Linked DNA regions of Oryzias latipes. The protein of the gene in region 2 purifies or fractionates together with the protein of the main gene of each other region. This does not show direct contact. Links are inferred from orthologs where the notes say so. Each region holds a gene or a part of one and is shown on either strand. Other genes may lie near its edges.

Evidence for each region.
Region 1: the proteins of ptpn21 (region 2) and trip6 purify together in Homo sapiens (affinity purification with mass spectrometry; 3 studies listed by BioGRID and IntAct, with this or other methods). This does not show direct contact. The link is inferred for Oryzias latipes from reciprocal best matches to the Homo sapiens genes PTPN21 and TRIP6.
Region 3: the proteins of ptpn21 (region 2) and wwp1 purify together in Homo sapiens (affinity purification with mass spectrometry; 3 studies listed by BioGRID). This does not show direct contact. The link is inferred for Oryzias latipes from reciprocal best matches to the Homo sapiens genes PTPN21 and WWP1.

Annotation. Positions count from the first base shown.
Region 1 is NC_019876.2:14,752,526-14,756,179, forward strand, and holds part of trip6 (thyroid receptor-interacting protein 6), read right to left. Parts: intron 3,418-3,654; coding exon 3,308-3,417; intron 3,210-3,307; coding exon 3,096-3,209; intron 3,022-3,095; coding exon 2,443-3,021; intron 2,314-2,442; coding exon 2,217-2,313; intron 2,136-2,216; coding exon 1,966-2,135; intron 1,875-1,965; coding exon 1,696-1,874; intron 331-1,695; coding exon 210-330; intron 11-209; coding exon 1-10. UniProt on the Homo sapiens protein: Relays signals from the cell surface to the nucleus to weaken adherens junction and promote actin cytoskeleton reorganization and cell invasiveness. Involved in lysophosphatidic acid-induced cell adhesion and migration.
Region 2 is NC_019880.2:6,994,377-6,998,030, forward strand, and holds part of ptpn21 (tyrosine-protein phosphatase non-receptor type 21), read left to right. Parts: intron 1-956; coding exon 957-1,024; intron 1,025-1,123; coding exon 1,124-1,194; intron 1,195-1,983; coding exon 1,984-2,071; intron 2,072-2,187; coding exon 2,188-2,276; intron 2,277-2,734; coding exon 2,735-2,822; intron 2,823-2,975; coding exon 2,976-3,055; intron 3,056-3,155; coding exon 3,156-3,263; intron 3,264-3,654.
Region 3 is NC_019878.2:10,274,828-10,278,481, forward strand, and holds part of wwp1 (NEDD4-like E3 ubiquitin-protein ligase WWP1), read right to left. Parts: intron 848-3,654; coding exon 688-847; intron 610-687; coding exon 476-609; intron 1-475. UniProt on the Homo sapiens protein: E3 ubiquitin-protein ligase which accepts ubiquitin from an E2 ubiquitin-conjugating enzyme in the form of a thioester and then directly transfers the ubiquitin to targeted substrates.

The DNA.
Region 1 (3,654 bases), on a different chromosome or scaffold from region 2:
GACCACATTCCTGACAGACAGGGAGGTTTCAGTCACTTCTAAGCTTGTAAATGAATCCAGCTCAATGCTGAAGCCAGGGTTTTTTTTGGCCAGAAATCTTTATTATTTTCTACCTAAAGCTGTTGTTTTGATTTCTAATCTACCAGGGCTTCAACAGGACTTTGATCTAATAAATGAATGGAGTGGATTCAGTGTTCTGGCGGCGATACCTCACAGACGTAGCAGTCGACGTGGAAGCTGCGGTCCAGAGCTACAATCCTGACAGTCTCCTCCTGTCCGGGTTCAGGCATGATGGGTTCACCACACACTGAGCAGCGAGGGGCGTATTTCCTACAAAATATATGAATGCAATAACAGAATGAAATTACACGTTCATAAAGAGTCCAACTTCGCTGCAGCTCTCCTCTGATGTGGTAAGCTGGGCTTATGGGATGTCATAAATGCTGGGCTAAATAAAGTTTAGTCTAAATTCATTTAAACATACACCTTGTGTGTTAGAAAATTCATAACCCCATGTTGTGACAGTAAAATATGTCCAACACAAGAGGCCTTCAGATCTTATCTGTTTGCTCAGCTGTTGGACAAGTTTAAAAAACAAAAGCGTGGTTGGTGATAGGCCGAGAACACGGCTAGCACGGGTTGTACAGAGTTAAACCCTTTAACCTCGTAGCTTTCCACTCCCGGAACTCTTCACATTTTTAAGCAATTAACGTAATTCTGAAGCGGAGAAAAGCAGCCTTGAGCTGATGTCCACCACTTTACAGTGGTGAAGTGTTTATACAATCAACATACATTTTGTTGATTTTTTTCGTGGCAAAAAAGTGGCGTCGGGCCGCCATGGAACACTTTGTTAGTAACGTGTTGGACATTGGTGCAAAGCCGATATGGAACGCTGCTTTTCTCCATGTCAGAATCAGCTGAATCATGTTGGAGCGGTTGAGGAGATTAACAAGGATAATGTCATATAATTAAGAGAAAGAGTTTGTAATGTTACAATTTTTGAAAAGAAAAATGGTTATGGCCTCCATCCACATTACCCATCGACCAAATCCATCAATGCACCATTTATGGTGATATCATAAGGCTTTAGTCTATCATAGGAATCTATGTCCCATAATGCATTTGGACCTCTGCAGCTTTACTGCCAACAGAGTCAACAGCGTCCGCCTGATTCGTCTAACCAATGATGAAGGAACAGCTTCCAATGTGCTCTACGTCGAAATAAAACACCATATTGGTTCTTTTTGTTGTTGTTTCTATTTTCTTTTAGTAAACTGACATTTGCCTCATAAATTTATGAAATTTAATCACATACATTCTCACTTATGAAATGATAACTTTATTACTGTAAAAGTTTGATTTTTATTCATAAATCTGTGGTAAATATGAGTTTCTTCTGGTAAAATGTTGACTTTTTTCATATATATTGATTTCTTTACTTTTAATACTTCGTCATGCACCAGTAACTAATGTGTACAGACTTTTATTTTGAAAAATAGTATCGACTTTGCACCTCAAACCTGAATGTCTTTGTCTAAATAGATGCAAACAGAAAAATCCTAGATCTAAAATCTCTGTGGTGCTAAAGTTGATAAGATTCTTAGTAGAAACATAATAAAGTTTTCTGTTTTTTTATTTGCTTGATAGAATCATATTTGATAGATTCAGGCAGTAAACGAACGGTTGTGAACGCACCGATGGAAGTCGTCTATGCAGTGTATCTGAGATGTGGCGTCCACAGTGAAGGGGACGCCGTCCAGGCAGCAGTTACAGACCACACAGGTGAAGCATCGCGGGTGGTACGCTTTTCCCATCGCCCGCAAGATGCGGTCCAGAATGGGCTTCGAACATTTGGAACAGCGCTCCAACGTACTCTGAAAAAAACACAGTGAAAAGACAGAAAATGGTCAAAATCACGCAGTCGTAGTGGCGCAAAACAGGAGCCGGTGGGAGTATTTCACCCACAATGTAACAGTTCTCGCAATAGCTCTTCTTCTCGAGCGCGTAGAACGGCTTCCCCCGAAGCCGCGTGTGACAGGTGATGCAGGTGAAACACTCCACGTGGAACACCTGCTCCATGGCGATGCACCCGCTGCCGTCACCCACCACGTTGTCCCCACAGCGGGCGCAGCGACCTGTTCGTGTGCAGCACAAGTCCACAGGGTTCATTTCATTTCCTTCAATCAATAATCGTCTTATTAATTGCAATTTCCTACCGAAATAGTCCTCTGCAGGAGGGTGGTTCATGTCATAAACCAGCTTCTTGGTGAGCCGATCCAGCTCCTCCTCTGGCCTCATCGTTGCTGCCCCCTGCTGGCCAAAAAAAAGGAAAACTTTTGCCATAAATTCTTCCTAATTGATCTGACAAAAAAAGCATAAATAATCAAGCTTGACTTAAATTAAAATGTCGTCTCTAAAAATGAAGAAAACTGCAGTGCCTACCTTGGTGGACTGATAAGCAGGACTCTGAGCCGGTCCTTGTCCTGCCTGATTGTTTTCCATCCCCCTCTTGGACATCTGGATCTGGCCGACTCTTCCAACAGAACCTGGGACTCCGCCCTTATAAGCGCCGTCGGGCTCCTGTACTGGTGAGTTGGAGTGAGGCGGGTACCAGCCCTGCGGCACTGTCTGGATCTGGGCGGGAGGCCGTGACGGGTGCTGGCGAGGGGGCGGCGGGGTGTAGGCCTGCTCGGCCTGCCTCCCCGTTTGGGAGTAGGTGACGGGCTGCGCCGTTTTCACCTGCACGCTGAACCTGGGCCCGGTGGGGGTGGAGGCGGTGGTGTAGGAGGCCGGAACAGGCTGAGGGTAGGGCTTAGGGGAGGAGGACGGGTAGTAGTCCTGCTGGTGGGAATACGGAGGGGCCTGGTGCTTGCTGGGATACGGGGGAGCCGAGTGGTACTGGTTCTGAGGGTGGGAGGCGTAGCCCATGGACGGCTGACCCTGAGGAGGGGCTGGTCTCTGGTGTTGAGGCTTGTAGTGTTCCCCTGATACATACTTGTTGTAAGGCACATTGTCGTAGAGCTGTGGACAGGCGGAGTGTTAGACTTTCACCCTGACGATCAATCGTCTGCTCCATTCTGCGTTTCCATGCCAACCTGGGAGCTGGAGTCCTGCGGGTGGCTGTCCAGATCCGCCAGCATCCCCGTCAGGGAGTCAATGTCCGCATCGATCTTGGAGTGATAGCTGCCCGGCTTTTCAGGAGGAAGTTGCTAAAACCGACAACAGCTTTTTAGTCGTCAAATTAAATAAACAAAAATATCGACAACAGCTTTTCAAATCAGCATTTGATGTTTTAATGTCCCCCCACCATCAGATCGTAGCTGTCCACACGAGGACTCCAGCTGCGGTCCTCTTTGGGACCAGGAGGAGGCGGAGGAGAATAGTAGCGATCGTTTGCTGGATGATGACTCGGAGCACCTTTGATTTGAAGAACAGCTGCTGTCAACAAGACTTGCATGACAACGGTCCTTTTAAAAGTAAAAGACGCCTTTGAATGTCTAATATTACTTCAACCTTTAAAGCTTTGTAGTTTAAATGGAGGACTACAGCATGCTTTTATTTTGTTAAAATATTCTTTTAGTTTTTTGGGAAGTCAAGCAGTGAGACTATTGAATTCATCTGAAAGAAAAAGAAAATAAAAGACACTTGTTGGCT
Region 2 (3,654 bases):
TGCAAAACTCAGATGCTCTCCAGTGTTCGGGCATCACCTAAATATTTCAAAATCACTTTTATATTTTTAAGAAAATGTGGTTTTGTAGATACTTATAATTCACTTGGAGATGTAAAGTATTTCAATTAAGGTTGGGTAGCTTGCTTGGTAAGGTAAAGGGCTGCCACACAGGAATCCAGGCTCTGGATTCCCGGAGGGGAATAAACAATGGTACTGGGGCAATTACCATATCAATGGCGAGCAATTAACATCACTTTGGGCAAGACACTTGCGCTACTGCCTCACTGCTCCCCCAGGGGATGGGTCAAATGCGGAGAAGAATTTTCCCATTGTGGAATAAATAAAGTATCAATTATTATTATTACATTGCAAATATAACCACATCAGTTCAATCAACCTTTTCCTATAAAAAATGTAACAATCAAATTAAAGCAAATGTTTTTTTTAAATTGTACTTAAGTCATATTTGGTCAATATACAAATATGCATGTGTTACAAAATGCTAAAAACCTTAAAATACATTTTTTCTCATGTTTATAAATGTAAGGCAGTGCAGGCTACTTTACCACTGAGGTAATTTTTTTTTTAAATAATAGCTTTACAAAACATGTTTCTTTAGTTATTATTCTTAACTTAATTTGTTGGAAAGTTTAGTTGGAACTTTTTTCTCTTCTTCATCCCAAATGTGAGGGTCATCTGCAGCTGTCAAACCCGTTTTCCTGCCAAAAATACCTACCACAGCTGGGAATGCTGCCCAAAGGCTGCTGGAAGCTATTATAGCCTCAGATATCCATGTTGTCTGAAGCAATAATAAACGGATCTGTCCTCCTTGAATAAGTCCAACATGTCATCATAGGCTGCTGCTTTCTGAAAGCCATGACATCATTCTGGCTGTTCAGCTTTGTTCTAAATGCAGCGGAGCTTGTCTTACCTTCATCCCGTCTTTGTGTCCACAGCTGACTTTGGAGATTTCAATCAATATGATTCTCAGGAATTCCTTCAGAAGTTTGCTCTGTTCCCTATTGTAAGCATCAACTTTGAATTGCTCATCATCATTTCTGAAGATTGGATCAGATTTCTTTTTTTTTTTTTAAATAACAAACTCTGACTCTTTTCTCTGCAGGACTGGATTCAGGACGATCGAGTCCTGGAGGAGGCTACTCAGAAAGTGGCTCTTTTTTATCAGTCTTTCCGGTGAGCCTGTTTTCAGAGCAGAAATGAAAGAAACAAACAGGCCATTGACAAATTAAATAAAAAAAGAAGAACTTGTTTCCATTGCATTTTGATAGTTATTCAGCACATGTAAATGGCTAATGTGTAAAAAACAAAACAAAAAAAACTTAACATTTTTTTAGTAAAGAGAAAAGCATCGCACCAACAAGCAAGAAGTTTAATTATTGTGTAACTATTAGAATGTAATTGTTTGCTTGTTTTTCTTAAGCTCGATAAATACATATTGGTGTTATTAATCTGCTTTGTTTAATAATGTGTGGAAATGATTTCACAAACATTGTCAAATGGATTTGATGATAGATTTCTGCAAATGTATAGAAATACACTTTGGAGCCCAGTTATAGTTACAGGGTTTGATAAAAAATCAGAATTGAAATCAGCAAAAAAAATACAAAAATTGAACACCATTTATAAAATGTTTCCATACATGGGCTAAGGCAGACATGCTGGTACTTCTGCAGGAATGCAACAACTAGAGTGGATGCGTCTTTGCTTCCATGGAACTGAATGAGTAAAGTGATTCTTAAAAGGTTTTGGAAGTGGGACCAACTCTGACCTTAGTTCAGCAGAAGCCCTGAAACCGAGGGTGGAGAAGCCACTCGGAGGGCATTTACTAAACTGTAATGCACAAATCTCTGGATAAGTATCACAAACAAAAGAAAGCGCAGGAAGCTGAAATGTTGGTCTGAAAAAGACAAAAGTGATGGTTTTGAAATGGCTGAAGCCGTTATTTTTTTTTCTCTGTCTCAGAGGGTTACCTGCTCCAGATGCAGAAATGTTGTACATGCAGGAAGTTGAGAAAATGGAAGGATATGCTCAAGAGAACTATCCCGCAAAGGTAAAGCTGAAGTACCCAGTCGTCGTCCCCCCCCCCCCCCCCCCCCCCCCACACACACACACATACACACACACATAAAACAACAATTTTCCTTACATTTGTTTCTGTTGGAGCAGGACAACACAGGCACAGATGTTACTCTGGGTTCCTGCCTTGATGGTATCTTCGTTAAGTATAAAAGCGCTCGCCCGCCTCTGTTGTACAGGTACGTCTGGACCCCGTGTATGTTTTAAAACCTGGGGGGAACTTTGTGTGCTTTCTTTGTCCTGAGACTGCGGCTGCTGCAATTAAAGAAATCTGTGGAGAAAGTTTGAGTTTTGTGGCACAGCTCTGAACTATTCTCAGAATGTGTCATCTCCATTTGAAATTCCGAATTGAAAGTGGCTGAAGGCTAAATGAGTGAAGATGGGAGTAGAAATTGTGGTCAGATCATTTACCCGAAAAGCAGGAACACTTCAGAGTTGTTGTTGTTTTTCCCCCCATACCACCGTGATTTCTAAATATCTATCAAGTGTTCCTGCATATTTCTATTTTTGATTATGAAAAGGCAACAGCAGACTGAAAATGCTGCAGGGTTTTGCTGTGATGGGAATAATGTTTTTTCTTTATTTTCCCTCCCTCCCTCCCTCCCTTTATGTGGCTCTGCGTTAATTGGCTGTGTAGGTGGCATGAAATTAACAACATGAGTCACAATAGGTCCTTTTTTGCCCTGGAGTTGGCCAACAGAGAAGAAAGTGTTCAGTTCCAGACAGTAAGTTTCAACGGCAGCAGCACCAATACTACTCTACTTCGTACTAAAGAACAAGTTCAATTAAAGAAAACATTTAAACATTCTTACCATCAACTGGTTTAAGTTTGAAAACAGCATTTTAATGAAACTTATTTCCTTTCTTCTCATTCGTAGGAGGACATGGAAACATCTAAATATGTGTGCCGGATGTGTTTGGCCAGATTAAAGTTCTATAAGATCAACAAGAGCAGCCTGTGAGTGTTTGCTCAGAAATCCAGCCCACTTCCTGTCTGTGTGTGTCCTGCATGCGTTCTCCTCTTTGATGTTACTTCAAGTCTGTCCTCCTCTCTTTAGAGAGGAGTGTGACACCCAAACTTCTGAGGGCTCCCAGAAGTCTCTTCTTACTTTGTCCTTTCCTCGTTTTCCCATGCTCTCTCGTACCTCTCTGCTCTCTAATAAGGGGTGAGCAACACGTTAGCCACCACCTTCATCATGGTGCTTGCTGGGACGGTGCTTCCCTGTACAGTGTTCCCTTGCTACTATCACCTTTCGCGGTCTTGCTTTTTCCTGTATTTTTTTTTTTTTAGCGCAACTTTGCATGCTTATTTTTTTATTTTTTAACACAGTGAACTGTGTTCTGCATCCTGATTGGCTGTTGACAAAATGCATTCAGGTTGCCACGTTTCTATAAATCTTCAATCGCGATCAGGTCTTTGTTAGTCCTGGACTTATTTTTCTATGAGGGGTTTGAACGTTGAACAAGAGAGAAAAGTGTGAAAATGTTCATGTGTGTCTGAGAAAAGTCTGTAAAGTGTTCAGCGAGGGGTTTAACAGCTTTAAAACATTTGTAATC
Region 3 (3,654 bases), on a different chromosome or scaffold from region 2:
AAGTATTTTATGATCTTTCATATTCCTAACTAATCAGTGGTTTTTTTAGGGCCTGTTTGGATGAACAAAGAGCTGATATCCTGGAGATGGGAAATGTTTTTAGATCAGTGAAAATGGGTAATTTCCCACGGCACACCTGACCATCTCCCACAGCACACTGCTTGAAAAACACTGATCTAAAGGATCAAATTTGGTCTATGATGGAAAATGTTGCCATTTATTTTGAAATATAGGTCAAATATAACCTCTTTTCATAAATTACATGAACTCCTCCTAATTCAGAATTGACATAAATGTTATGTTCTGTGGTTTTGTTCTACAAACGTAAAGCTTCACAGAAATAGAGAGATCACCCATCATAAGTCTTCCTAGTTTCTGTAAGCTGACTTCAAGGACTGACTTACAGTAAATAAAGAACAAAATCAAAGTTTTAAAACATTTGTAAGCTTGCAAGTCTCTGAAAAACATGGCAGACCTGATCCATATGAGGGAGTTGTAGAACTCTGGGTCGATGGACTCCAGGTCTTTGAGGATCAGCTTCTTGTTAAGCATGCGCTTATAGAAAGGCAAAGAGAAGCCCGTGTCGATGAACTTCCCATGGAAAAGTGCCTAAAAGGAAGCAACAAAAATTGATTGAAATGAATATAAATGTAACTGAGAGGGATGTGCGTGTGTGTGTGGGCGTGCCATTGCTATGAAGCGGCCGATGAAGCAGAAGTAGGAGAGGTGGTCGGGGTTGATGGCAGAGGCCGGGTTGATCTGCAGACAGTAGTTGCTTTTGCCGGCGTACTCGAACAGGCAGTACATGGGGTTCAGCACTTCATGGGACAAGAGGAAAAACCACTCTCTGCAAAGTGAGATGTGGGGAAAAACACAACAAACGAGAAAAAAAAGGTTTAGAAATAAGAAAACCCCTTTTTTTCTAGCTATCGGTTCAGGTTTGAGGCGACAGGAGTGCAGCATTTCTGTTTAGCAATTCATTTAAATTATCTGTGAAACCTTCTTACTGATAAAAATAATCCAAGTATTTACACAGACATGCATGAATAGAAACCTTCCTTATGGTCTAAGCATCTTAATATGCTTTTAGCAGTGTAGTCATTATTTTCATTCCAGGTTTCATTATATTAAACATCTGGGAAAAATAAAAATGAAATTCAGCAGAACGGTCAGAATTTATAAATTGTTGGGGAATCTGAGGCTGGTCTTAGCCAGCAGAAACATTGCAGAAAAGCCTCAATATTTCTCTTGCTGATTCAAAAGCCGTGGAAAAGAATCAACAGAATTAAAGAGAATTGTGGGAAATGGAGGCTGCTGACAAAGCTCATCAGTTCAATGCTAGTAAGAGTTGCTGAATTAAAAACTGCAAAGAGGATGTCTCCTAAATACTACAGTAAGTAGTCCTACCAATCGATTACACTTCGGTTGTTTGCGTATTAAATAAATATTTTTTACAGATTAAAGGTGTCTGTTGACGTCTTGCAGGTCTGTGGACACCGGCAAGGACAGACCGTTCTCCTACAATGTTTCTAAAAGAAAGCACTTGTTGCTTTCCTCTCTTTGCCTCAGTGAAACTCCGCTTTGTTCTGCTGTTCTGTGCCTTTTGAAAATGTTTGCTAGATCCTCTGTGTTGTTTGAAAAGGCTGCAACAACTCCTTTACAGAAACGAGACAAGTTCCAAGTGTCTGCAGATGCTGAAAGAGCAAAGAGGTGTAACTGTCTGCTAAAGTCTGGTGCATTAGCCATCTTTGGTGTTTCACACCAAAACCCAGATCCATTAAGAAAAAGACACAAAGACATTCTTGCTTTTGCTACTCTAATAGCAAGGCGCCGTATATTATTGCACTGGAAATCTAAAGACCCACCCAGGGTGTCCCAGTGGCTGATGGACCTTATGCAACTATTACAACTTGAAAAAATAAAATATTCAGTTTGAAGATCGAGGGACAAATTTTCTCAGTCTGGGGTCCGGTTTTAGATCACTTTGGCAAACTCAGAATTCTACCTGAGACCTCCTCACATTCTACCATCACATCCCTGTAGTTTATAGTTTAAAATATTCCAACTCTTCTTAATTATTATTAACATTATTAGCATTAGTATTATTATTATTCTTATATTTTTACGTATAAATATCAAATCAGCTCTATATGTACCTATATTTCTCTATTTTATGTTGCCATTTTTAGAGTTGATCATATAGAGGTAAGCTTTTGTTACATTGGACAATGTATATCATAGCCTGGAGAGGGGGGTTTGAGGGTGTTCTTTTTTTATTTATTAATTAATTTATTTTCCCTTTTTTGCGGGGGTGGGGAGACGGGAGAGTGGTGTTTGAAAAAAAAAAAAACTGCCCAAGTTGTATTACAAATATGTAACTATTTCTTTGTTTCATTGAATTTCATTTATGTAACAATTCTCTTTTTGTTTGCAATAAAAAAAAAATTAAAAAAAAGTCTGGTTCTTTAAAGCAAAAAATAACCCAAACAAACACCAAAAAATCATCTATAAAAATGTAGGATCTATTTTAAGACCGTTAGCCCTCAGAATCCCTCAGATTCCCACTGATTCCAGAGTTTTGCTTAGATAAAGAAATTGGTGGCAACTGATTATTAGCCGCATTAGCTAAAACCATTAAAACAGAACAAGTGATCGAGTGTTTCTAAGTTAGGACCTGACTTTAAGGCGTTTGGAACTGCAGTTGCACACAACCACCATTAAAGGTGGGGGGCGCTGTGTCTAAATTAGCAAATGGAACAACAAAAATCTCAGCTACCCACAGAGCATTATAGTCAGTTTTGATCATCTTTTAATGTAGGTAAAGCAAACTTATGGATGATAACATTCATTCATTCATTCATCTTCTTAACCGTTTTATTCCCTTTCGGGGTCACGGGGTTGCCGGAGCCTATCCCGGCCACTTGGGCGTAGGCAAGGGATGCCCTGGACTGGTCGCCAGTCTGTCGCAGGGTAGAATATCCTCAATTACACATTCATTCACTCTCACACTCACACCTATGGACAATTTAGAGTTGCCAATCAACCTATGTAGCATGTTTTTTGGACAGTGGGAGGAAGCCGGAGATCCCGGAGAAAACCCACGCACACACGGGGAGAACATGCCAACTCCACACAGAAAGGTCCCCCATTGATGTTGTGTTTTTTATGTCCCCCAACCGGGACTTGAACCGGGGGCCTTCTTGCTGTGAGGCAAGAGCGCTAACCACTGCGCCACCGTGCAGCCCATGGATGATAACAATTAATTTAAAATGGTGTTTATTGCTACCTCTACAAATATCCAATTTTAAGTAATTGGATGTGCGGGGGATGTCAGAATTTACAACTTTACATTCATTTACTGTGTCTCCTGCTGCTATAAACCCCTCCAACTGGTTACAGGCGGAGCGATTGAATGATCTCATGAATCCACCCATGGAGATGCGCACTGCTCACTGATGCTTTTGTAAGGAAACCTGATCTGTCATCATCCCCGTCCTCTGGGATGAGGCCGAGAAAAGCTTTTCACAGAAGCTCCTCCCACATTCGGCGAGAGCTTTGGGTTAACACACTTTTGGACAAACGTCGAGCAGCAACTTTGACTAATGTTAAAACAAAGACGGTGTACGTGGATTTGATGCGTGAATCGCGTTCGGT